2 linked regions of the Oreochromis niloticus genome follow. Each later gene encodes a partner of the first gene's protein in a complex. Links are inferred from orthologs where the notes say so. Each region holds a gene or a part of one and is shown in the gene's direction. Other genes may lie near its edges. The genes, in order: bcl2l1 and tpt1.

Region 1 (12,340 bases):
TTCTATTTTAGGTGTGCAGGCTGGTGTCCTGATGATATATCTCATATGTAGGAAGAACAGTAAGCGGTCGGAACATCTCTGCCCTCTCAAACAACATTATTTATATTCTTTGGATTATTTTATTGATGAGGAAAAAAAACTCTCCTAAAGCATCCAAATACCAATCCATCTTCTACGTTTTATCAATCATTTCACAAGGGGGCTGCAGCTTATCCCAGCTGTCATAGAGCAGCAGGTGGAACATTAATGAGTTGAACCTGTTTGGTTTGTCAGTATTATCCCCACCCTAAACTCCAACTAACTGAGAGTTCTGGGACTACACCCATACAAATATAAAATCTTCAAGCTCTTCTACTCATGTACCTCTGCACACGTTTCCAATAAGCTACCATCTCTGTCCACTTGATGGTTAGCAAACATCTTCTGTTTCTGACCTGACCTTCATGTCAACAGTGGTTACTTGTGATGAGAGCTGGGTCCAGCTACAACCAGTAATGAATTCTACTGTTAAAGTTCTGAGTTCTGCTGAACAGTAGAAAAGGCATAAGGTGTATTTTGGCCACTTGTGCCACTTGTTCATCAGATTTGGTTCCCTGTCTCTTTGTTCTCTTCCCTATGATTAAAATTTACCTTGAAGGGATTGCTGCTTTTTGGGAAGTGGTGTTGGGACAGTGATTAGCACTGTGGACACATAACAAAGTCAGTGGTTCAAATCTGCCATCAGGGCAGTGGAGTTTGCATGTTCTCCCTGTGTCTGCGTGGGGCGTTCAGTGACATGCAGTTAGTGGGGAGTATCAAGACTGTCAAGGGTTGTAGCCTGCTTCTCACCCTACAGCAGCTGGGATAGACTCCAGCACTCCCGAGATCCAGAACTGGATAAGTGGAAGAGGATGGATAGCGGTTTCAACTTAACAGTGATACAGTAGACCTTACAGAGGCATAAAGTGTAAAGGGTCAGAGCGGGACTTCCAGAACGACGTGTTAAAAACTAGCAGGTCTGCTGAAAGCCATTCATAGGTGCCATAGGAGCCTGCAAATTACATGGGTTTTAATTAAAGTAGTTTTGAGGGTTTCTTTTCTAATGGACAGAGACTCAGAACTTTATGTTCACAGCCCAGAGTTAGAGCAGGTGATATTTCAGATATGTGTATGAATGTGAATAGGGGCAATAAAATAAAAGTCAGTCAATTTGTTTTAGAATTTTGGGGCGATTTTTTTTTTTTTTTTTTTTTTTTTTAAGAAAAATCATAAAAATGGTGGGTGGCACATGAAGAAAAACAGGTAACGAATGCTTCTATGTGGTCATGTGAAACTGTACTTTCAAGGTGCCCGCTCCATCACCTTGGAGCGGGCAGAATTTTCTCCTCAGTTTTTACTTCATGCACAGCTTTAAGGTTTTGACAGGCGGCGCACCTGCGTGCGTTATCCAGTTCTGGATCTCGGGAGTGCTGGAGTCTATCCCAGTGAGGCAGATATGTTCTGAAGTTGTTCTGTCTTTTCTGCAGACAACGAGCAGCTGGCTCGGTCCGGGACAAACTGCCTGGAGAACCTGGTGATCCTGAATGGGGAGAAGTTCAGCCCCGAGGTGTGGGACATAACATGCTCCTGTATGCTGGAGATCTTCCAAAACACCAGCCCTCAAGCGTGAGTGCTGATCTTCTATACTCGAGTTCAGTTAAAGTGTAAAAGATGGCATCACTAAGTTAATGGGCGTTCAAAAATTGGTGTGTGTAAAAGTTACTGTTGCGTTTGTGCTGTCACATGATTGTGGATTTTTTTGCTTTCCAAACCAGTTTGTTGACTTGGCGACCGGCTGGACAGGATGAGGAAGCAGCTGACGCGAAACACTTTGTAAGAGGAAACAAAAAACCTCACCAAGTTCTCCCTGTGACTAAACGATGACTATGCACAGCAGCAGCTCTGCACATGCTTCATATAGTTTACTTTTAACCAATGAAAAGAACTCTCCTTTTCACACTGTTTCCACTATGTCAGACACTAACCTGTGTCTGTGTTCATGGTGTATTTTGTCGCTCCTGTACATTTCCAGGATGCTGATTTCGACACTCAGTCACAGAGCAGCTACGACCGAGCGCTCTCCGAGAGAGGACACAGCCAGATGTCCAGTGATGACACCTGGAAAGGCAGAAGCAATGCCAGTAAGCAAACGGGCGCATGCGTTTTTATTCAGTCTGTAAAATGAATAATCTCAGCATGAATTCCAGGGCTCATATCTCCACACCTTTCTAAATACCTTTCCCTGCTGCAGGAGTTTCAGACCAGAGGCTGTTTGCAGGCCTGCTGATCAAATGCGTCGTGCAGCTTGAATTAATACAGACCGTCGACAACATTGTCTTCTACCCAGCCACCAGCAAGAAGGAGGATGCTGATAATATGGCTGCTGCGCAGGTAAAGCTTGGCACCTCACCCACTCTATGTCAGTGTGTCACTTTTATTCATAATCACAAAATCATAATCCCGAATGAGCTGAAGAGGCGAACCAAAGAAAAGAGAGTGAAAATGTATTCCTGCTCTTCACCTTTACAATTTTAATATGAGGTGGTGCAGATAAAATGTGGAAGCAGCCACGGACAAATGTTTCAGGAAAAAATAGTTCTGCTAAAAATTTGTAGTTAGCTTGAGTTAATCCAATTAAATGAGTGTGTGCACAGTCCCAGTGGGTTTCAGTAGGCCACCAGTGGCCTAGGGACCAGAAATGTCCAGTGTCCGCTAGTACAGCCTTATTTTTATAACTATTATAAAATCATATATGCTAAAGTTTTTTCCTCGTGCCAGCGGGATGCTCTGGAGGAGTCGGAGGCTGAGGGGCGTGAGTCGGGTCCAGATCAGGGCATGTACAGACACATGACGTCCGCACACCTCTTCAAGCTGCTGGACTGCCTGCTGGAGTCACACACCTTTGCCAAAGACTTCAACTCCAATAACGAACAGAGGACGGCACTCTGGAGGGCAGGTAAAAACCAAGGGAAAGCCCCCAGGATTCTCTGTCCTGTGCACGTTACAGTTCAGAAGGTTCTTTGTTTATAGCTTTACGTTAAACAGAGGAGAACTATCAGTAAATAGTGGGAAGAGTAATGGTATATCCAGCCCAGTGTTATTTTCACTTCCTTTGTTTTGTTTTTTTGATAAACAATAGATATACAGAAAGGAAAGGCAGCGTGGAGAACACCGTGATATGCAGCGAAATGGGACACGTCTTAACTACAAGCCTCTGTTACTGATTTAACAGCTGTCATCTCTCTGGTGACCTTTCAGGGTTTAAAGGGAAATCTAAGCCCAACTTACTGAAGCAGGAGACCAGCAGTCTAGCCTGCAGCCTCAGGATCTTGTTCAGGATGTACTCGGACCCTCAGCTGCAGGACTCGTGGCCCGACATCCAGACACGCCTGCTGCTGTGAGTGAAACGCTCTCCTGCACTTTCTCACAGTGTTTCCTGTGTGTCATCACCGGTTAAATGTTAAACCTTAGATAAATAAGCACCGAGTGTGTCACTGGCAGAAAGGGCAGCGCTGCTGTTTGTTCCTGTGTTTTGACACACAGCTCATACCTCATTATAAATTTATGAATGTACTCTGCGTGCGCATTTCGTGTAATATATTGGCATGCTAAAGCCGGGCACATATCACCTCGTCGTGTTTGTCGCTGTAAGCGATGACTCACGTATTGCATCAAGAACACACATGTGAGACGTTTATCATCATGAAATAGCTGCCTCTATGATAAAGATGATGCGGATTGATAATCAGTTTTGTGCAGCAACACTGATACCGACAGCTTTGTGTTTGTCATAATCGTGTATGTGCGTCTGTGTTGTGTCATCTCTCTCAGGGTGTGTAATGAAGCTCTGGGCTACTTCATCAGTCTGACCTCAGAGAGCCACAGAGAGGCTTGGAACAGCCTGCTGATGCTGCTGCTCACCAGGACGCTGCGGCTGCCCGATGACAAGGCAGGAACGCACACGCACAGAGCACACCTCCAAATACACATTAGTAACAACTTGGGGAAAGAGTATTAGTAGTAGTGTAGTGTTACATAAAGTATTTGTTCAGTAAAGCTTTACCTGTGCTACACTCTCCAACTCACGCTGCCTCCTCCCCACTGAATTGAATAACAATAAAATAAAAGTACAAAAAAAAAAGATCAGTTCTTCCCAAGCAAAAATATGTTATTAGTTCAATCCTTTTGAATTGATGTCATTTTTGTGAGTACATATGAATTATGTATTTAGAGAATGTGCATGATGATTCATGGCAGCGCATGACTTGAGGTGCCTTTCCAGGTCATTTTAGACCAAAACCAGAACCGTGCAGCCACAAGTAGTAGGAAATGTTGGCGCCGTGCAGCCAGCCAACAAACCACTGCATCAACAAAAACTAGACCAGTATTGTTACAGTGGACTGGTCGGCACCGCTTTCTTATGCAATCCCTACTTTGAGTTTTGGGAACGTTTCATAATTCCGTGAAATTGTTGTTAAAAGCAGGAAAAAAACAGCAACAAACATGCATCACTGTCGACATATTAATTAAACACCCTGCTGTGAACCTAGTGGTCAGCAACCACCCCTCATTTTGTATATTTTTCCAAATACACTGTTTTGTTTTGGTTGTTTTTTTTAATGTCTGAGTCTTTAGCTAAATGTTCTCCTGTTTGTTCCAGTTCAAGCCTCACGCGTCCTGCTACTACCCCCACCTGTGTGAGATGATGCAGTTTGACCTGATCCCTGAGCTGCGGGCTGTCCTCAGGCGCTTCTTCCTGCGCATTGGCTCCGTCTTCCACATCGCTGCTGCTCATCCAGAGGGAGCGCCCGCCCGGACTCCCGCATCCTAAGAAGGTGGGTGGACAGGGAAACGGCGAGCGCTGGTGAGAAGATGGACACAACTTCCGAGAGACTCTATACCTCTGATTGGACCGGATCGGATCACAGATGGCTGATAAAGACAAGCTTTCCCGCTGGGACTCTGCGTTGAGTATTTCTGTTTTCGGCTGCGCTCGGCAGCTAGAAACACCTTCGCCCGGATCCCTGGCCATCCTCTTTATCTCGGAGATGAACAGCACTGTGACCAGCACTCTCTGCTGACTGTAGTCATTTATCATCCCCCTGACTGTCATCTTGAAAAAACTGTAAACAAATAATTTATTGATATTATTGCAAACCCTTTCACAGATTTTTGAGCGTTTTCTTTTCCTGCTTAATTTTTTAAATACTTTAAAACAAAAAGAAAAATGTCTATATGCTGAAAGGAAATGAAAAATCTCATTGAATTTGATTTCCTTGCATTTGCTCTAGTAAAAGATAAATTCTGGCCACCTGTGCCTGTTTGGGGGAAAAAAAGAAAAAAGGTGATCTAATCAAAATAAGTTCCTTGTGTTAGTGTCAATCCTGAAGCATTATTGAACTCTCATATCTGTGTTAATATCAAGGAGGTTGTTGAAAAGGCTGAACCTCACAACTGCAGGAGAAACCAATCTGCGCCTCTTACAACACTATCAGTGATCTTTAATTGGGAGATCTGTGTGACACTGCCATCCCGTCACGTTTGTCACCTCTTGCCTATCGATGAGATTTTACGTATTTATTTGGCTCACTTTCTTTAGTTATTGTTTGGATAATTGCTGGTTTACAGTGTACGGATGGTTGATATACTGGCTGCTTCCCTCTGCTGTGCATTCCCGCGTGTGTTGACCCAGTCAGCCTTACACTGGGGTCGACTTCTCCTGGCTTTACAGTGGACTGATAAAACCTGCACACATCCATCAGTTGGACTAGAATACTACAGTTGTCCATATCTTTATTTTTTACAGTGTGTTCAGGTATTAACATGACACAGTGTAACGACTTACACTGGATGCCTAGAACTCCCTTTAGTGTTGACCCTCTTCCACATTAGTTTGACAGAGCAAAACCAAAACTTGCATCCACAGAGGCTCCAGCATCTCTGCATCCTGGATCATTTCGAGTTTGTTCCATGCCTTTCTTTTTTTTATTTTAAAAAAAGAAGGATGTATGTAATTATTTAAAGTGCATTTAAATATTTTTTGAAAAGCATTCCTTCCCTCGCAACTATGGATGTCTACTTCCCTAAATCTAGGGAATATATAAATATATATAAATATATACAGTAAATGAAAAAAAATACAGACTGTAAAGTTTTCAATGTAAGATACATAGAAATGAAAGTGCTCTACGGTTCTATACATAATATTGTGATGTAATCTTCTAAGCATTTGGTGACGTAATCAATAAACCTGAGTTCTGATCTACTTCAGTGTCTGTTGGTGCAGTTTTAAAGCTGTTTAGAGGGTGACCAACACAGGTGGTGCCACCTAACATTAAGTGCTGAGTTTGCTGACCTCCAGTTCTAATGGTAAGGGAGGCTGGTAATGCGGTGTGGAATGGAGCCGTCATTAAATTTGCTGTTATTGCACGTGCTTTTTATGACATGACCAAATAAAGCCAATTTAAACTCTCTAAATGTTTTAAAATGTAGAAGCGTGTGGGTATATCAAGATGTCCACAGGGTGGCACTGCAATCAAACTGGTAGTCACCTTGAAGCGTGCTAGGGTTTGGGGTAACAAAGGTTACTATGGAGACCTCACGTCTTTTGTTATCTAAAGTGTAAAGATGCCAAACAGCTGCTACATGGGCCCTTTTATGAAAAAAAACAAACAAAAACAAAAAAAACAAAGTAAAAAGAAATAAACCTTAAAGTTAATATGTAAACGATGAAGTGTGTCATAGTTGCCATCAATGGTCGACTTAAATAATTTATGTCTGTGTGTCAGATGTGACGCTTCAGCATTACAACTAGCGCACTTTTAGCAAGTTAGCGCTAATATTAGCCGGCTAGCGTTAGCTGGGGCTTCATACAAGCTAGCCTTGGCTAGCCCGTAGTTCACGCTGGGAAACAACCCGAAAATCTCAGCGACACTGGCACAGCTCCGTTAATGCATTTGTGGCGGAGTGTTGACGTTAGAAAAAAGCAATGATCCCGCTAGTTGCAGTGAGGCTTGACTGGCACCGGTTGGTTACGTAGAAAGCGTAGCTGTGGGCGGATCTGCGGTAACCAGTAGCTGAGCTAGACCTCCTCCGCAAGACGGGCCAGCAATGACGGATAGGGTTGATCCAGCCGGGGTTTGGATTGTGAGCCACCAGACATGATTATATGAAGACCACCCTACAAGTAAGAGTTTCTGCTCGATGTACAAGTGTAATTCTGATCCCTGTGCTGATGGCGTCGGTGAAATAACGTGAGGAGGAATGGCAGAGGGTGGATTTTCCTATCTGAATCCTGCGAGAGGAAAGAGGTCGACAGATTAGGGAAAAAACGCGCAGCGATACTTTCGTTCCCTCCCCAAAGCTTTCGGGGTCAAAATGTAATTCTGCTTTGTGCAAACTATAAGTGTTCATTGTAGTAAAAGGTTTTGCCTCGGAAAATGTATGTTTTTCAATCTTGCAGTCTGCGAATGTGCGACTACATGTATATGACAGTGACAGCCATGTTCACAAGCTGACTACAGCCGCGTTAGTACAGGCGGAGCAGTCTCTGTCATAATGGCTTACTTAGGAATTTTAGTGTTGCAATGCTAATTGCGGGGGTGGTGTCGTCTATATAAAGCAGGGTGTTGTCGCAAAGTGGCATTTTTCTAACGAGATGCGATTAAAGGTCTTGGAATGGAATTGTGTTGCGTTCAAGGGATCCCCTACAGTTTTCATTAGAAATATCAAAATGTGTGTGGAATACAGAGACAGAGTGGAGTTTATTTAAACTACGGTGAAAACCGGTACTTCAGGTTTGTTATGTATATGTAATTTATTGTGCTAAACGCGTTAAGGCAGATACATTGTGAATAACCGGTGACAGTGCAAAGAAACGTCCCTTTCAATTGAATCGAATTGAAAAATGTAATAAATTGTATCGATCTTTCTAACGAGTTGTTAGCTGTTAAATTTTAAAATATCTAACGCTTGAATTATCTCTAAGAGGTTACTGGAGCGAGTAATATCATATATGTACTGTTTTTAAGTCGTGCACGTACGAGAATTTTCGACACGATCGTGAACGAGGCATCCATAAAAGCGTCGGTGTTACGCAATCGGGGGGGAGGGCTGTCCATGCAAAGAGAGGAGGGGGACGTAGGAGGATACGTGCAAATACAGTCCTGAGCACAAAGTACCTATCTTGTGTTCTGACAGCTTTTGTACACGTAAAGCGACAGACGGGGTTGTCTGACAGATTCGGGACGTTTTCACCGAGAGGATCCGTGTACGGAGAAAAGCACTCCCCCCCCGGGTTTGATATCAAGAGTTGCTGGTAAGACACTCGGGAATGACCTTTAATCCTTATATTTATATTTTTGACGGTGTTAAAACGCCACTTAATAATAAAAAATTAAATATACATCAATATCCTGACGGTGGGGGAGCTGACACAAGCTTTAAGTGCGCCACCAGAGGGAGTAGCATGTTTCAACACTGCTCTGGCTGGTTAATGTGTAAAAGGACAGTTTAAATTCCACCGTAAAAAACATCAGCAGAGACTCCAGTTTAAGTGAACCAAGTTAATGTTTGAGTTAATGTCGCGTTCAGGCGCTACATTTGGTCGCGATTCGCTGGTATTCCTTGAGGAGCTGTGTGGTGTTTACATCAGTGCTGGCCCATTAAAACCCGAGCCACGTGTAGGTAGCTGGGGACCATGTGGCCATTGTAAACACTGCTGCCTTGTGGGTCTTTATGTGCTGTAACGGTCTCTTTCTGTTACTTTTACCACCCAAATGCGGACTAAGTAGTCAGCTGGGTGTATTTGAGTGAGTTTTTTTGTCGGGGGGGGCAGTTTGCTTCTGCCATAGCTCGGAGCCAGCTGACACTGTATCGTGCTTCTATTGTGCTGTTAGGAATATATTGTATTATGTAATGTCACCAGCGCTATTTGCATGGAACTCCCTCCCAGCGGTCGGGCACCCTGATTATTAGGTTCCGCCACGTATCAACGTAAATGTCAGTATTGCTACAGGAAAGGTCAGGCTCCCTCACGATAAGCAGACAGTTTGGGATCACCGGCGGGTCACATCCCTCCCACGTCTTTTTGTGTGTACCAGTGAGTATGGTATGGTGACAGCACATTACAGAAGGGGCTGGGCAGTCAACTGCTCTCACAGAGTCTTTGTTTCAGGGACCTAAACTCAATTTAGAGGCTTCAGGAAGGGAACGGAAATGATTAATAAAGCAGTTTGTATTACTGAACATCGCTAACGTTATTAGGCTGCTGTCAGGGATGTGAAAGTAATAACTGAGGGTGCAGGAGCTTTTCTCCACAGACTTTCTTGTTCACATATGAATTGTGATTTATTTATTTACTTCTGTTAATATAACCTGACAAAAAAGCTGATATATATCCTTGTCAGGCTGTATTTCCCACAACCCAAATTACATGTTTTTATTTGGAACAACTCCAGATATATTCAAATTTCTGTTATACATGTGAATAATAAAACATCCATTAGTCACATTATTGTTGCTGGAAACATTAAAAAATCGGTTTTGCCTAAAATGTTAACTGGAAAACATTTGATTTGATAGAACCAGATGTTGATTTCATCCTAACTATGGACGTTCTAATCATATTAAGCTGCTTCTTCTTTATTGTTTTTTTTGGGGGGGGGATGTTACTCTTTGTTATGGTTGATACTAATGTTTAAAATAAAAATTTGGCTGATAGCTAATACAGATATTTTGTTGTTGTTATTGTAATTTTGTTCTTGCATTTTGCTCCAGAAACACAAATTAATTTATCTTAATTTTTAAACTTAACGTTAACATAAAAAAAACAACAACAACAAAACGCATATTTTAAGGTTTGTCAGCTAAAGATAAGTATCGATATTGATATCTGTGAACTGATATGAGTCAACAAGGCCAATTCAAATATGAATCTGATCTGTGGGTGCGTACCTGTTCGGTATGCTGACCTTTCTCCTCGGTGGTAGTTCACATGTTTTAAACATTTCTTCGCTGACAAAGTTACCAAACATGTGTTTGACCTGTGCGTGACCTATCTGAGCAGAATGTTTGAAGTAACAGCAGTCTGATACATCACTGGTTAAAAGGACCAAATTACTCAGGTTATTGCTGCATGTGTTTGCTAATAGATTTCCAGAATTTGAGTTCAGAGGAAGTTCATGACATTTTGTATATTTAACAACACTCAGGCTGTTTTTAGTCAGCCGCTGAAACATAAACTTAAGTTAACTTGATGAGAACAAACCTGCTAGCTGAGAGTGGCAGCACAGCATCTCCTATACAGTTTTTATTACCACTTTTTATTTTGCAGTTCAACACTGTCACCACACGTTCATGCTAAAGCTGTCAGACGGGCCCATAATGCAAGCTCATATATATGCGTCGTTAATACTTCTGCAACCTCCAACGCCAGTAATGAGGAGGAGGCTGGAAATATGACAGAGTCAGTTTTGTGTGGAGATTTAAGGGCACGTGTGTGAGCGAGAGAATAACGGAGTGAAAGCTTCCCTCAGAGGTCAGAGGTCACTGATTAGGATGTCTATGTGGAGCTTCAAGCCAGACTGTCTTCACCTTCCTCACGCCTCCTTTCACTTTGTCTCTCTCTTTCTCTCTCTGACACACAAACACACACACGCGCGTGTGTACACACACATTCTCTCTGCTGTCGTCTCATTAATATCATCCCATCTGCTTCATATGTAACAGCCCAATTAGAGAGACGCACTTTGACCCTACCTGTCCAAATTTAATTTGAAGGTTCACAGTCGTCCCTACGCTCTCCACTCTCCTTATACAGTCTCTCACACACACACACACACACACACACACACACAGACGTAATCCTGGATATAAGCAATCCAGACTTTGACCTTTCATCGTTGTGTCTCTGCAGGGCCTGAGCCGTGCAGCCTTGTGTAGGTTTGGTTTTCACCCCCCAAGTGTCCCGTGGATATCAGCTGACCATGGTGGTCTGAACAGAGAAAACGGGAGGAAAAGAAAAAGCCTGGCGCAGTGTGTGTACACTCTAACACAGCGAAGCTTGACCACAAGCGGAGCAGAGAGAAGAGCCGGAGCAAAGAGGAGGGGAAAACAAAAAAAGCACATTTAAATACAAAATGTCTCAAAACAGAGAACTGGTGCTTTTCTACATAAGGTATAAACTCTCCCAGAGAAACTATCCTCTCAACCACATAGTACTCAACGAGCCTTTGAACAGGACTGATGGGGGGGCGGCGGGGTTGGATGAGGAACAGCGAATAGACACACACGCCAATGGGACTTTTAATGGCACGAGTCCCGGGACCCCTCCGGCATCCCCGCAGCGGCAGCAGCAGCCGCCATCAACGACGGACCTCGACGCAGTGAAGGAGGCGCTCCGGGACACGGCCAATGAGTTCGAGCTGCGATACGCTCGTGCCTTCAGCGACCTTCACAGCCAGCTGCACATCACGCCGGCCACGGCCTACCAAAGCTTTGAGAACGTGATGGACGAGGTGTTCCGGGACGGCGTCAACTGGGGCCGCATCGTAGGGCTTTTTGCGTTCGGCGGGGCACTGTGTGTTGAGTGCGTCGAGAAGGAGATGAGCCCCTTGGTGGGCAGGATCGTAGAGTGGATGACCGTCTACCTAGACAACCACATTCAGCCCTGGATCCAGAGCCAAGGAGGATGGGTGAGTCACACACACAGAAGCGCACACGCCGTTTGCTTGTATAGCCTCTTTCATAAAAGGGCTCTTTAACATTGTGGCCTTTAATTACACAGGCAAGGTAAGCTCAGGTCGCCAGCATGGAAAATTTCCTTGCTGCCACTTTTACTATGCACCCACAGCTGGCAGCAGTCAGGTGGAAAATAAGTTTAAAACCTGCCCTTACTTTTCCCATCTACTTCTGGAAGTGCGCCTGCTTTTGTTGCTATAGTGATAGCGGTGTTTTTGATCATATGTGCCGTTTCCCTGTCAAGAGCAGATTTGCTCCATTGTGTTAGTTGTGAGGCTTTCCTGCCTGCGTGGCTTGACCTCTAGAGGATCGTTTTTTGTGTCTCGGTAATCTAACAAGTCGACATGAGACAGTGGCTGGCTCCATAACCCGCCAAGAAGAGACTTGAGATTAGATGTGATGAAGATGGAAATTGGAACACATCTGGCTTCAAGAAACATTTGTCTTTAAAAGCAGTAAAAACAAGAGTGCCTGTGTGGTCAGCAGCTAGTTCAGCTGTTCTCTAATTGATCAGCATCACGCTGTTCAATGAGCTGAATCGAAGTGGGAGCTTAACAACCTAAATCAGGGTTCTGGGAGTCTC
Region 2 (12,398 bases), on another chromosome or scaffold:
AAATGTAATTCCTCATCTGGTTTGATTTCTGGCAGTGATGTTTACCTCAGCAAAGGCTAATTAGAGTTAAAGCTCAGGTATTTATGCTGTTTAATGTTACGATACCATTCGTCCAAGAGTAAGTGGTGTAAACGAGACCATGCAGAAATCCTCTGCTTATAAAAACATGTCTCTCACTGTTGTAAATCAAATGCATGATGTTTTGCTGTGCATGATTTTGTGTGGGGGTGTGTGTGTGTGTGTGTGTAATTAACACCTGTGGTTGTAAAGGCTTTTAATTTTTACATTTTGGCCTGTCTTCCAAAAGTTCTTTCCCAGCCTGACTTGTTTACTCCTATCATATCCATCTATCATAGGATCCCCTCAGGCAGAGGGAAGCAGTGCTAGGTCTGATGAGGACTCGGAGGTGGAGATTGTGTACGTCAGGGAACCCACAGCTGAGCAGGCAGCTTTAGCTAGGAAGCTCCAGCTGCCCATCACCTTCTTCTGCTACAAGAATGAACCAGGCTACATCAGTGATGACCAAACTGACGGTGAGACCCAAGATATGGAACGAGGGTTTGTTAAAGTGGACATCAGTGGTTGTACATATGACTCGCTGAAATAAATCTGCTTATTTGTGAATCATTAACATTCCCAGGAGACGATGTAAGAAATGCTATATAGACATTTTTTGTTAGCTTTTCAGTTTTTATTTCTTTCTTTTGAACCCCAAAAAATGTATCCAGTGCAAAAATGAATGTGACACCCGAAGTGCTGCTGGCACTGGTAAATGTCACCTTATTTGACAGTTTTGAGAAATAAGGCTGGTATAAGAGATGTACATGACTTTTTAATAATTGATCATTTATTTTGAATATTTGAATCTGCATTAAGCTGATTGGTTTTTTTGGCCTTATAACACCTTTTTCCCTTGTTGTTGTTGTTGTTGTTGTTGTTGTTTTTGTTTTTGTTTTAACATGCCACCGCTCCCACATATGATGTAATGAGCTATTAGAGCCAGAAGGTAGCAGTAGTGCACCTAGAAACATTTTGCCATCTTCTGTTAAACAAAAAAAAAATGTTTTAAAAAAACAAAACAAAAAACCTAACAACAGTAAATCATGCGAGTTGCTGGGAGTTTAGATGGATGGAGCTTTGAAGACCAGCTGTGAAAATTTAATGGTCCATTTACAATTCATATCCAACCTGATACAGCTAAAGGTTGGGTAATTCACTCATTTATACCAAACATGTTCAAGTTGTCTCCATGTAAAGAGTGCATCGGCTGTCTTTTATTACTCTTTGTCTGCTTGGCTTGGTACAGCTGCCAACTGGTCAGCAGAGTAGTGTGAAATAGGTGACACTAATGTGTACTTTATACGAGTCAAACATTTGACTCCATAGTGCTGCTGTTAGTGAAACTCCACAGGATCTCTGACATCCTTTTAAATGAGTGAAAAATGTGATGCACGGTATTTCTGTATAAGGATATACATCTGTCCTGACATAAATATCAAAGTGGAACTTTAACCTTAATTAAAACATGTTATTTGGAGTGAATTTTTATTTAAATTTTATTATTTGAAACTGTAATTTCTGCTTTTATAAGACAAACTAGTAACTGTCCCATTCAGAAAGCTAAGAAAGGACTTCTTGGACTTTTTGTTTGTTCGTTTTAGTTTTTGTTTTTGGGGGGAGTTGTCTCCTTTGACATCAAGGTTCAGTAATGCCTGCGAAGCTGGCCTCTGTCGTTTTAAATCTGAGAATACAAAATTGCCTTTAATCTTTCATTCTTTATGGGTAGAAGTCTGAACAAACGCTATAATTTTCTTTGCAAACATAATTAAAGGAAACATTTGTTTTAAACTTCAGATGAAGACTACGAATCAGCGGTGAAGGCCTTGAATGGAAAGCTCTACCCTGATCCTCCTGAGAGAAAGGCTGCAGCATGTGGTGATGGTATGTAGTCTAAACCCTGTTACATGTTATTATATCCAACTCAAGACAATTGGTTTGGTTTAATTCTGCTACTATGTTAAAGGCTTTTATGTCGATCTGTTATAGCTATACAGTCCAAAATTTGTGTACCTTAATAAATGTGAGCCTAAACTTGCTGTTTGCTGCATTCAGAGTCAGACTGTCAGGTGGTGTGGGAGAAGAAGCCAACACCAGAGGAGGAGAAAAAAGCCAAAAGCCTCCAGCTTCCACCCACCTTCTTCTGTGGCCTGAGCACCACGGACAGCGACCCGGACCAGGATAAGCCTGAGGACTTTGAGACAGAAGTCCGCAAAGTACATGAAGTCCTGGTAATGGCTCCGAATTTACATGGATAATTCAGATTATACAAGCAGGAAACTCAACTTTTGTTTTAAAAAAACAAACAAATGTTAACTTTTTTAAATAAATTATTTTACTCTGTCAGTAATACTCAGAGGCATCTTAAGATGGGTATTAATTTGGAAATTTGTATCAGGTTGCTCAGTTAGACAAATCTAACGAAGCCTCCAGCAGTCCTGCTGTGACCCCTGAAATGCCAGCATCAGGACCATCATCCAGCAGAGCAGAGGCTGCCGACAGCACATCTACAGCAGACAAACAGACCACAGCAACTCCTAGCAGGAGCTCTCCCATTGACCTCTCAACTAAGAAGAGTGTCGAGCTGGAGTCCAACACTGAGACTAAACCTGCATCTTTGACTGCTACAACAAGTCGAGGTAAAAAAGTGTGAAAAACGGCATGAGTGTTTTCAAATGAAACATAACTCCATCTTCAGCCACATACTTTATGGGATTTCACTCCAACTTTTAACTTAAATTTGAAAAAAATGTTAAAATGAGGAGCTAGATTGAATGATAAATATTGAATACATTTTTGCACAGACAGAATTTCAGCTGAAGGGATACATGGTTTCTTTTATACTCAGAATGTTTCTGGGGAGTTATTATGAAGACTTATTCAAATGAGTTACCCCAAAATATGATTTTAAAAAGGCTTTTTTTCCCCCTGTGAAAGTTATAATTATGGTGCCATCTTTTCAGAATTCTCTATTATATTTTCATTTATCACTCTGAACACAGCTTGATTCTAATATGCTTTATGAACTTAGAGAATACATCATCCCTGTATTAACCTTTTAACTTTGACAGATATAGGGGTGGAAAAGGCTTTTAAGTATTTAATGTCTTTGTTGTTCTGGCTGCAGACATCTCCACCTTTGGCTTCAATGCATCTGGCTTTTCTTTTGCTGAGTTGGCCAAAAATACAGATGGATTTGCATTTGGATCAAAAGGTTGGCTTTAACATTAAACATTTTCTTCAGTTGTTTATCTGGACTGTTGTCTTGTTTCACTGCTAATTATTTTAATTTTTCTTTAAAAAAAATGTAGATTCTAATTTCTCATGGGCAAATGCTGGAGCAACAGTGTTTGGATCTGCAGTGGCCTCTCAGCCTAAAACCAATGCTGATGAGGAGGGAAGTGATGAAGAAGAAGCTCCTAAAAATGTGGACATTCACTTTGAGCCCATAGTATCTCTGCCTGAGGTACGTGCTCGTGCTTAGCCCTAACATTTTAGAACAATTAGTAAACTTTTCCACAAAAGAAGCGCCACCCCGAATCTCATACATCAGAACTGTATTTATCACTCAGGTGGAGACTAAGTCTGGAGAGGAGGACGAGGAGATCCTGTTCAAGGAGCGTGCCAAACTGTATCGATGGGACCGGGATATCGGCCAGTGGAAGGAGCGCGGCATCGGTGACATCAAGATCCTCTTCCACCCAACCAAACATTTCTACCGAATCCTGATGAGAAGAGAACAGGTGCTGCGGGTTTGCGCCAACCACAAGATCTCGCAGGCGATGGAGCTCAAACCCATGAACACCTCAGCGAACGCACTGATCTGGACTGCCACTGATTACTCAGGTACACATACACCATCGATGTGACATTGTATTGTGCCGCGTTGTGTGACTTGTCTGTAAATACTCACTAATCATTCATCTTGGATTTTTAAACCACTTGCATGTGTTTATTTCTTTAGGCAACATGTGGATTGTTCTTCACCTGCTCTCTTTCTCCTCGCCCCCTTTTTGTTTATCCAGATGGCGAAGGTGTGATTGAGCAGCTGGCGGCCAAGTTCAAAACCCCTGAAATAGCCGAATCCTTCAAAAAGACCTTCTGCGAGTGTCAGAACCGGATGGGCCAAATTGATGGTGATGCCTCGTCTCTGTGCTCGCCACAGATGTCCAGAATTCAGGAGCACTCCAGAGACACTAACCCACAGGTGTTCCTCAAGCTGGCAGCTGATGGCCAACCTCTGGGCACAATCACTGTAGAGCTGTTCTCACATATTGTACCCAAAACTGCAGAGAACTTCAGAGCTCTCTGCACTGGTGAGAAAGGCTTTGGGCTGCAGGACTCCATCTTCCACAGGATCATACCAGATTTCATGTGTCAGGTGAGGAAAGATCAGGGTTTGGACTTTCAAGATCAGATGAATGTTAAACTTGTTTGATTACAACAAAGTGGGATTTACTCTGGGTTGACAAAAATACACCCTGGTTGTTGTTTGTAATCATAGCACAGCTCTGTAATTTGATGTATGAAGTATTTTATTGATGCCATGAAAGTAAGCCCTGTTGTTTAAAAGAAAACTCTCAAGAGCAAATCTCTAACATCACTAACAAGTGCTCCATTGGTCTTTCAGGGTGGTGACATCACCAAGAATAACGGCACAGGAGGCAAGTCCATTTACGGCAACAATTTTGAGGATGAGAACTTTGATGTCCGGCACACAGGCCCGGGCATCCTGTCGATGGCAAATCGCGGGCGCGACACCAACAACTCGCAGTTCTTCATAACCCTGAAGAAAGCCGAACACCTGGACTTCAAACATGTGGCTTTTGGCTGGGTTCGGGATGGCATGGATGTGGTGCAGCAGATGGGAGAGCTGGGCTCAAAGGCAGGCACTCCCACAAAGAAGATCATCATCACAGACTGCGGACAGCTGTAGCATTTTAATGTTAAGATGAAGCTTTACGGCTTGGTGTAGGTTATTAAGTTAAGATCAGCTGAGACTCTGGATGAGAGCAGTGTGTACCCTGTGCAGTACTTACATTCCTGCTAAAACTGAATCTTTAGTCACGAGGCGCCGATCACAGGGCTGCTGGTTAAGTCGTTCATCACAGAAACTTGTCCACAGTAGCCTTGAATTAGATATTCTTTCACTGTCCTGACATTTTCACAAAAACAGAAGCGAGTTGGTAAAGGAGTGGAGGCTTTTGGAACAGATGTTGTAAACTTTTGCACTTGCGTCTTTATCATCTGTCAATAAATTCTCATGTGTATTTTGTGTGTATAAATGTACATGGACTATTTTTTTTTTTTTTTTCTAAATGTTTGTTCCTCCTTTTTGTCTTGCATGTGCTCTGTTTCAATGCAGTTGTTCCCTCCATGAGCTCCACTCTGGTAATTTTTTTTCCCCCTTTTTGAACAAGTCTTAAGCCACTGCTCCCCTGCCTTTTCCTCCAAATGCTGCCTCTATGTACTTTTAACTGTTGGGCGCCCACAGGATTTTTTTCTGTTTCAATGGATTCCACAATGCAGGTAATTGGACTTCACATTTGCCCATGCAACCTGAAGTAATCTCACTTTGTGGTGGCTCAATGATAATCTGGTTTGAATTTTACAAAGGGGATCCATTTCATGTATAGTTTGAGATAAATAAAGGCTGAAATGGTGCCACTTGTACCAAAATATGCTTATTATTAAACAATAAAGTTGCTTTACGAATAATCGATGCTTGTATGGCTTATCCTTGTTGACTTCATTTTGCTCTGATACAGTTTGCAGGTTCACTCGGGGTATTTTTAGACTCATTGACCTTATTTCACCACTTAAAAGATTTTGCATTCAGGTCTTGTATGTGACAAAGTGGATGAAAAATGGATAGCTGGATGGATGTCAAAGTTTTTCTTTAAGCATCAAACTATTTGAAAACTGGGAACTTACCAGTGGTGATGGAAAGAAAGTGTATTGAGCGTAAAGTAGTATAACCTTAAAGTGAGTAGTTGCAATAAGTTGTCTACAGACTGTATATAAAAGATTCACTCAATGGTTGAGTGTCGAGTTGAGCCATAAAGCTAGTCAGATAATTACAAAAATGCCCAAACTGCTTTTTCATGCTGCAATCTGTCATGCACAAAACATAAAACCCTAGTGACACAGGCCTAGAGACAAGAACCCCCCCCCCCCCCCCCGCAAACTATGGTTGTAGTTTGCTGCCAATTGCTAGTTAAAACTGGCTGCAACAAATATGGTACTACACCAAAAACCTCCTTGCAATTCCTCAGGCTGGTGTCTTTCATGCAAACTACACCAATACCTGCTAACAACCAAAGGAATCTAAAGGCTTTTGCTGCAGCACCCCTTAATTCTCCCCAGGAACAACTTGCCAACTGGTCAGGGAATACACATCTTCCCCCAGCAACTAATGGTTCGCGGGGGCGATTGCCAACTGATAACGTATTCAATGCTTGTGTAAAGATGGTTCTTGAAATGAGAATTTGTCCACCATGGAGGTTGTCACATGGGGAAAAATCTCAAAGAAAGAGCCTCAGAAGAGCTTCAGATCATGCAACAGATTCTACAAGCTGCTCCTTTTGTGCTGTGATGATCCAGAATTTCCTAGTTATTCAGGTTTCTGCCCCACACAATAAAATTTTTAATCAATCACTAACATTCAAAATAATCCAAGATAAAATTAATTTAAATTATTATTATTTTCCATCTGGTTGTTTAAGCCCCACTTGCAAAAATCAATCACCGCGAGGCTCAGAATAGCTGTAGTACCACTTCTGACCACCCACAAGTGGCGGCAGAACCCGGAGCAGGAGCCGACCCACAGTGACGTCAGCAGGATGTAAATGTAGCGCCTCGCGGCCTGATCGGTCTTTTTCCTCTCCCGTGCTGTTTGGGCGGTTGGCCTGCTCTCTGTCTCTGGGAAGAATTAACACCGAAGCAGCAAAATGATCATCTACAGGGACCTTATCAGCGGTGAGTGACCTTTTTACGTGTCTTCTTTCACGCTGACCAGGTAGCGTGATGGTCGCGTGTGTTATTTCACGTGTGTTGTTATGTTATAGGTGAGAGTTGGTCACGCTAACGAGCTAACTCGTGTTGTCATGGTTCGGAAGTTAGCGCTAGCTAGCCAGATGCTAACTCAATCAGAAGAGTATGTGGAGTTAGCCACCCTGTTGGGCTAGCCGGTGATTGTGGCCGGTTAGCTTGTAGCTTTGCCCGCACTTCGGCTCAAATAAAGTTTTATAAAAGTGTAAAAGAGTACCGGCTCAGTCACCGGTGAGGTGGCTTGGTAGTTGCCGGGGGTTGGGGCTATTCCTGTTGGGGTTCGTCATGGTAAAGTAACGTGGTGTATGTGGCCTTTCAGCATCCCCCCCTCTGCTGCAGTTTTATTTTTGTCCGGCAGATTTTTCTAGACTAATCATTGTTAGTGTTCCCCCGCCACTGCGCCTCACATTTTATTTTAATCGCACAAGATTCAGCCTTGAATTGTGGATAACATATAAGCCTCTGCTGCTGCTTTTGTTCTTTTAAATCATGATGTTAGCTTGGAGTGTTGTAATATGTTCCTTCCTCCCTTTTCCTTCTACAGGTGATGAGATGTTCTCAGATGCCTTTAAAGTCAAAGAAAGTGAAAACGGGATCTTCTTTGAGGTTGAAGGAAAGGTGAGTTCGCCACCACATGTTCAACAGAGGATTTAACCAGTTTCACCTTTTTCCAACAGCTGGTTCATTGCTGCTTTGCAGTGAAATTTAAAGTGTAGTTGGCATACACCCAAAACTAAGGTGTTTTAATAAAACATCAGCGAATAAGTAGCTGCTTTAAGCTGCCCCTTATTAGGGATTTATGCTTCGGTAGGAAATTACACCGTTATCTGGTGCAGACCTCACTAGAAATGTAACAACACATTAGATCAATACAGCCCACGACTGTTGTGTTGGCCTCTTCAGTACTGTCCATTCCTTCTGTGAGTGGCTTCTGGCTACTTTTTAACCAGTTTTTGAGTTCATTACTGAGAGAGTAGCCATCATTATCTCAATATAAAGAATAATAATAATCATCGTATTAATATAACATAGAAACAGCTAATTACTGGAAGGAGACTGCTGAAACTATTGGAATGGACATATGTACAAAGCAATTGGAATTTGAGCGACAAATACCAACACACTCACCCAAAAAGAGAGAGAGAAACTGGGGTGGGGAAAGCTGACCACAAAGGGGGATAGGGGGGATAAAGGGGGAAAAATAAAGGTACCAGCATTTTATTTGTTTCTGTCTTGGCTGAGCTTGCATCTAAAACACCGGGACAAGATCATATGGTAATTAACAAATAATGTACAAGCGTCTGCTCTTTTTAAATCTATTCCCCAGTTTTGTAATTTCTCTTATAGCTTTGGTATTATTATTCAGGATGGGCCACTACTTATGTTTAAAGTAGATTTGGTAGATGTTTTTTGGAGTGAGTCATGTGATTTCTGGGTGTACTTCCATGACGTCATCTTGACTATGACTGAAGATGAATCATAGTTGCAGGTCTCCAATAGCGTAACTTCAAGGTCCTTAACCTGCCTAAGAATCAGACAAATTTTATTTTTAAAATACTAGAACAGTTTGAAGTATCATGTTAGCCTGGTATTTGTCTTTAAGCATACTTTAAAATTAGTCAAAGAAACTAGGTGAAGTAGTTACCAAGCAAATACTTAAACCTTTGTTTTTAAGTTAACAAAAAAAGTAACATTTATGTTTAAACAAAAGATGTGATTCAGATCAGAATGGCGGATCAGGGTTTTGCTAAATAATATCCTAGGGTAAATTTTAAGATGTGTATGACGAAGGGCTGTATTTATGTGTATGCTTTTTTTTTTTTTTTTTTTTTTCCCATAAGTACATAAATGCAACAGATAAACTGCTTCAGGTATAATGACGAATACTATAGTAATGAGGTTTAGCCTCGAAGGGGTTGGGAAACTGTCGCAGGCGACAACATTTGAGTCAGCCGGCTGTTCTTGTTAGTTATACATTTTTAAATAGCTCAAAAATACTGAATTGAAGGCCAACTGATCTATTGGTATTTCCCAATCATTTACTATTGCCCTTGCTATGATGCACCAGCAATAATTGTTTTTTCATTTTTCTTCCTCTCCTCAACTACAGACCGTCACCAGGACAGAAGGGTTTGATGATTCTCTAATTGCAGCCAACGCTTCTGCCGAGGAAGCAACCGAGGGCAACGAGTCTTCCACAATCTCCGGTGTCGACATCGTCCTGAACCACAAACTGCAGGAGACGGGCTTTGACAAGAAGCAGTACATGACTTACATTAAGGACTATGTGAAGGCGTGAGTAGCTCGATGTGCCAGTATGGAGGAGTTCTGGTTTTGAATGATCTTTGGCTCTGTTAAATGAACGCGTCTGTTTGCATGTCTAGTGTTAAGGCCAAGCTGCAAGAGACCAAACCAGATAGAGTGGAGAGCTTTATGGCTGACATCCAACCAGAAGTCAAGAAGATCTTGGGGAACATCAAGAACTACCAGGTAGCTATACAGAGATGAAATGGCATTTTACACCATGTTCACACCAAAAGTAAATGTAAAGTTTTGCCTTGCGAATACAGTAACTACAGTATTTTTTTGAAACCCTTAAAATTTGAGTTTGAGTGACATTTTCAAGTCTCGTAGGAAGGCCTGCATGTCACTTTGTGTGTGTGGGTCTCTATACAAAACTTGAGTTGAATCATGTAGCTGAAGCTCTCTGAAAACTGTGGCAATTCAGTTTATGGGAAAATCTCAGCTGACAGATTTTTTGTGAGTCATCATCAGTTGCTAATGTTTTTATCCTGGAGGTGTATTTGCCTCTATCATTTGTCAGTTTGTAGCTTTATAGACTGTGTGTGATAACATAGTGTGAATACTTGACATCTAGACTGGGTGCTGCTGTTAAGTAGTGTCAAAAAGACAAGTTTAACCAGCTTGCTTGTTTGAAATAAACATGTCAGTTCTTTGACATGTTGATCTGTGGCTGACAGCCAGCATCCCGAAGCTTGTTAATGAAACGTACCTAATCTGTGACTCAATGAAGGTACATTTGATGGGAGGAGGAGACTTGCCCCTGCCATCAAATTCAAGAAAAGCTGCCAAATTTGAAATTATATTTTATTAGATTTAAAAATTTGGCATTTTCTGTGTTTTACTGTGAATAAATTATGGGTTTGAGATTTGCAAATCTTTGTAATCGGAACTTGTTTTTTAATTCAGTCTTTCTATAGAACTGAGAGGAAGGTCTAATGGTTGCTGTTTGCTTGCAGTTTTTCACAGGAGAGTCCATGAACCCAGAGGGCATGGTTGGTCTGCTGGACTACCGTGAGGATGGCATCACACCATTCATGCTTTTCTTCAAAGATGGCCTGGAGATCGAAAAATGCGTAAGTGCTATGAAGTGGGAAAGACTTGATACATTTCTCAAACTACAAAGTGTTCCTGCTGGAGAACATCAGTATGCCACAGTACACACACACAGTCTGGATTTCTAAATGAATGTTCCATGTTTGTAAAATCATGCCTGCTGTCTACTTGATGGTAGATGGTTAAATTTAATAACTACACACTGTTCCTCTCTCTTTCCCACAGTAACTACCTGGAATTACATCTGCCATTTACCTGACTGCTGCTTCCAAAATGGCCTACAAAGCAGACTGGAGGAGCACTACCTTGCATCATGCCTGAACAGAAACATTGTCCAATTTCTTAAATATTCACATTACGGCCCACAGAACCGCTCCCAAACCTGGGGGGTGAATCAAACATGATTAGTCACCGAATACAGTTTTTAACCTTTTCTTTTTGGCTTTTGCAGTGTTTGATTTTTGTCCCAGGATTGGCCCAGTTTTTGTGATTGAAACAAAAGGCTGGACAGCGAGCAAAGCTCTGACTGGCTGAAAGAAGACATTTGTTTTTTGTCTGCATAACTGTTTTAGCAACGATCCATACAGGTTGGCATCACCGGACCCCTTTGAGTTTGGGTTTGTGGTTGCATTAAATAAGATTCCATCTACAATAAAGACTTATGGTTTAATTTGAAAACGAATAAAAACGAGTACCACAACTTTCCATTTCATTTCTCTGTATTTCTGTGACAACCTTCACTTCTAGTGCTGCAAACAGGCAGTTTGTGGGTTGAATTTCAGAATATCCTTTTTGAATTGCTTGAAAAGATGCTTTTGTAGCTTTGACAAGCTGATCTCATGTGCAGTTGTCTTTGGGTTTTCTCATTCACCTTTTTGATTCTCAGGTTTTTGTGAAGTGCAGAACAGTCACAGCCAGTAGCTGCTGGCAATGTAATGTGTGGGCTTCATGTACAAAAGGAGTCCTGTGTAAAAGCAAAATTCAAGAAAAAATGTTGCTTTACTGGAAAATGGTGCCATACAAAGTAATGGATAAACACAAATTAGTAGGACGACTAGAGCTGGTAGTACAGAGGTTGTTCAGGAGTGAGCTAAAGGGCTTGTGGCTGTTGACCCAAGGTCAGGTGTATGATGAATGTAATTTACTGAATGAAAAGTTGGTAATGAGATTGGTATTAAATGTGTGAAGGTTATATGGAGGGCAACAAGTGCCAAAATGAGTTACTGGCTTTAAATGTCGGTAATAAAACATCAATTTCTAATTTTATTAATGACTTAATGATGTAATTCATTTTTGTACTCATGGTCGTCCATAGTTTTACAGTAGTGATTCAGAGCAGCCTAGTGATCTGCAGTACAAAGAAACGTGTGTAGCCAACTGTCAAATTACCTGGTGGTTAGGACATCAAATATATTTGTTAGTTTATCTAAGGTCTTTAGTCTCAACAACTAGACTCATTAACGTGGAGGATAATAACCACAAATAAACGATATGTACTATCTTTTAAAGAAACTGACACGTGTTGCAAGGTTTGATAAGATAAAATGTTGTTTGCCTGTTTCTTCTATGGGATTGGTAATCTCTGCAATCACAGCTATCACCATCTAGTGGCTTTCATACAGAATGCATATTTAAGACTAATACATAGGCTTCATATTTAAAACAAACTACACCCATGTTTTTGTCGTTGTTGATGCAGTAAGTGTGAAAGCAGAGCTGTTAATTGATTTGTACATCTTCATTCTTATCCTCACAGCCACGAGCTGTGGGCAGTGCATTAAAGGAGATTGAAGGTATAAGCGGGGGAAATCTGTTCTCTCTGAAGGGTGTCTGGGCTCAGGACTGTAACTTAACTCTTCTCTACTCTTCTAAACCAACACACTGGCAGCTCTTAATGTAGAGTTGGCACTGTCATGGTACCACAAAACTGCCAG

The links.
Region 2: the proteins of bcl2l1 (region 1) and tpt1 are in contact, whole or in part, in a crystal structure (PDB 4Z9V), measured with the Homo sapiens proteins. The link is inferred for Oreochromis niloticus from reciprocal best matches to the Homo sapiens genes BCL2L1 and TPT1. Residues at the interface, in NP_001304848.1 of Homo sapiens: Ala93, Glu96, Phe97, Arg100, Tyr101, Ala104, Phe105, Leu108, Gln111, Ser122, Gln125, Val126, Glu129, Leu130, Asp133, Asn136, Gly138, Arg139, Val141, Ala142, Phe146, Leu194, Tyr195, Ala199, Ala200, Ser203; in NP_003286.1 of Homo sapiens: Phe14, Asp16, Ile17, Lys19, Ile20, Arg21, Ile23, Ala24, Asp25, Gly26, Leu27, Cys28, Leu29.

The regions. Positions count from the first base shown.
Region 1 is NC_031984.2:31,794,695-31,807,034, forward strand, and holds the start of bcl2l1 (bcl-2-like protein 1), read left to right. Parts: upstream 1-6,909; 5' UTR 6,910-7,204; intron 7,205-8,004; exon of another isoform or gene 8,005-8,335; intron 8,336-10,933; 5' UTR 10,934-11,156; coding exon 11,157-11,711; intron 11,712-12,340. Other genes in the region: arfgef2 (brefeldin A-inhibited guanine nucleotide-exchange protein 2), read left to right, coding at 1,506-1,644, 1,794-1,851, 2,051-2,159, 2,270-2,409, 2,797-2,974, 3,277-3,415, 3,850-3,967, 4,679-4,849. UniProt on the Homo sapiens protein: Potent inhibitor of cell death. Inhibits activation of caspases. Appears to regulate cell death by blocking the voltage-dependent anion channel (VDAC) by binding to it and preventing the release of the caspase activator, CYC1, from the mitochondrial membrane.
Region 2 is NC_031987.2:11,357,552-11,369,949, reverse strand, and holds tpt1 (translationally-controlled tumor protein homolog), read left to right. Parts: upstream 1-6,882; 5' UTR 6,883-7,007; coding exon 7,008-7,035; intron 7,036-7,651; coding exon 7,652-7,725; intron 7,726-9,217; coding exon 9,218-9,402; intron 9,403-9,491; coding exon 9,492-9,597; intron 9,598-10,367; coding exon 10,368-10,484; intron 10,485-10,689; coding exon 10,690-10,692; 3' UTR 10,693-11,169; downstream 11,170-12,398. Other genes in the region: E3 SUMO-protein ligase RanBP2, read left to right, coding at 357-533, 1,855-1,941, 2,113-2,288, 2,456-2,696, 3,185-3,271, 3,369-3,523, 3,630-3,903, 4,083-4,438 and 1 more. UniProt on the Homo sapiens protein: Involved in calcium binding and microtubule stabilization. Acts as a negative regulator of TSC22D1-mediated apoptosis, via interaction with and destabilization of TSC22D1 protein.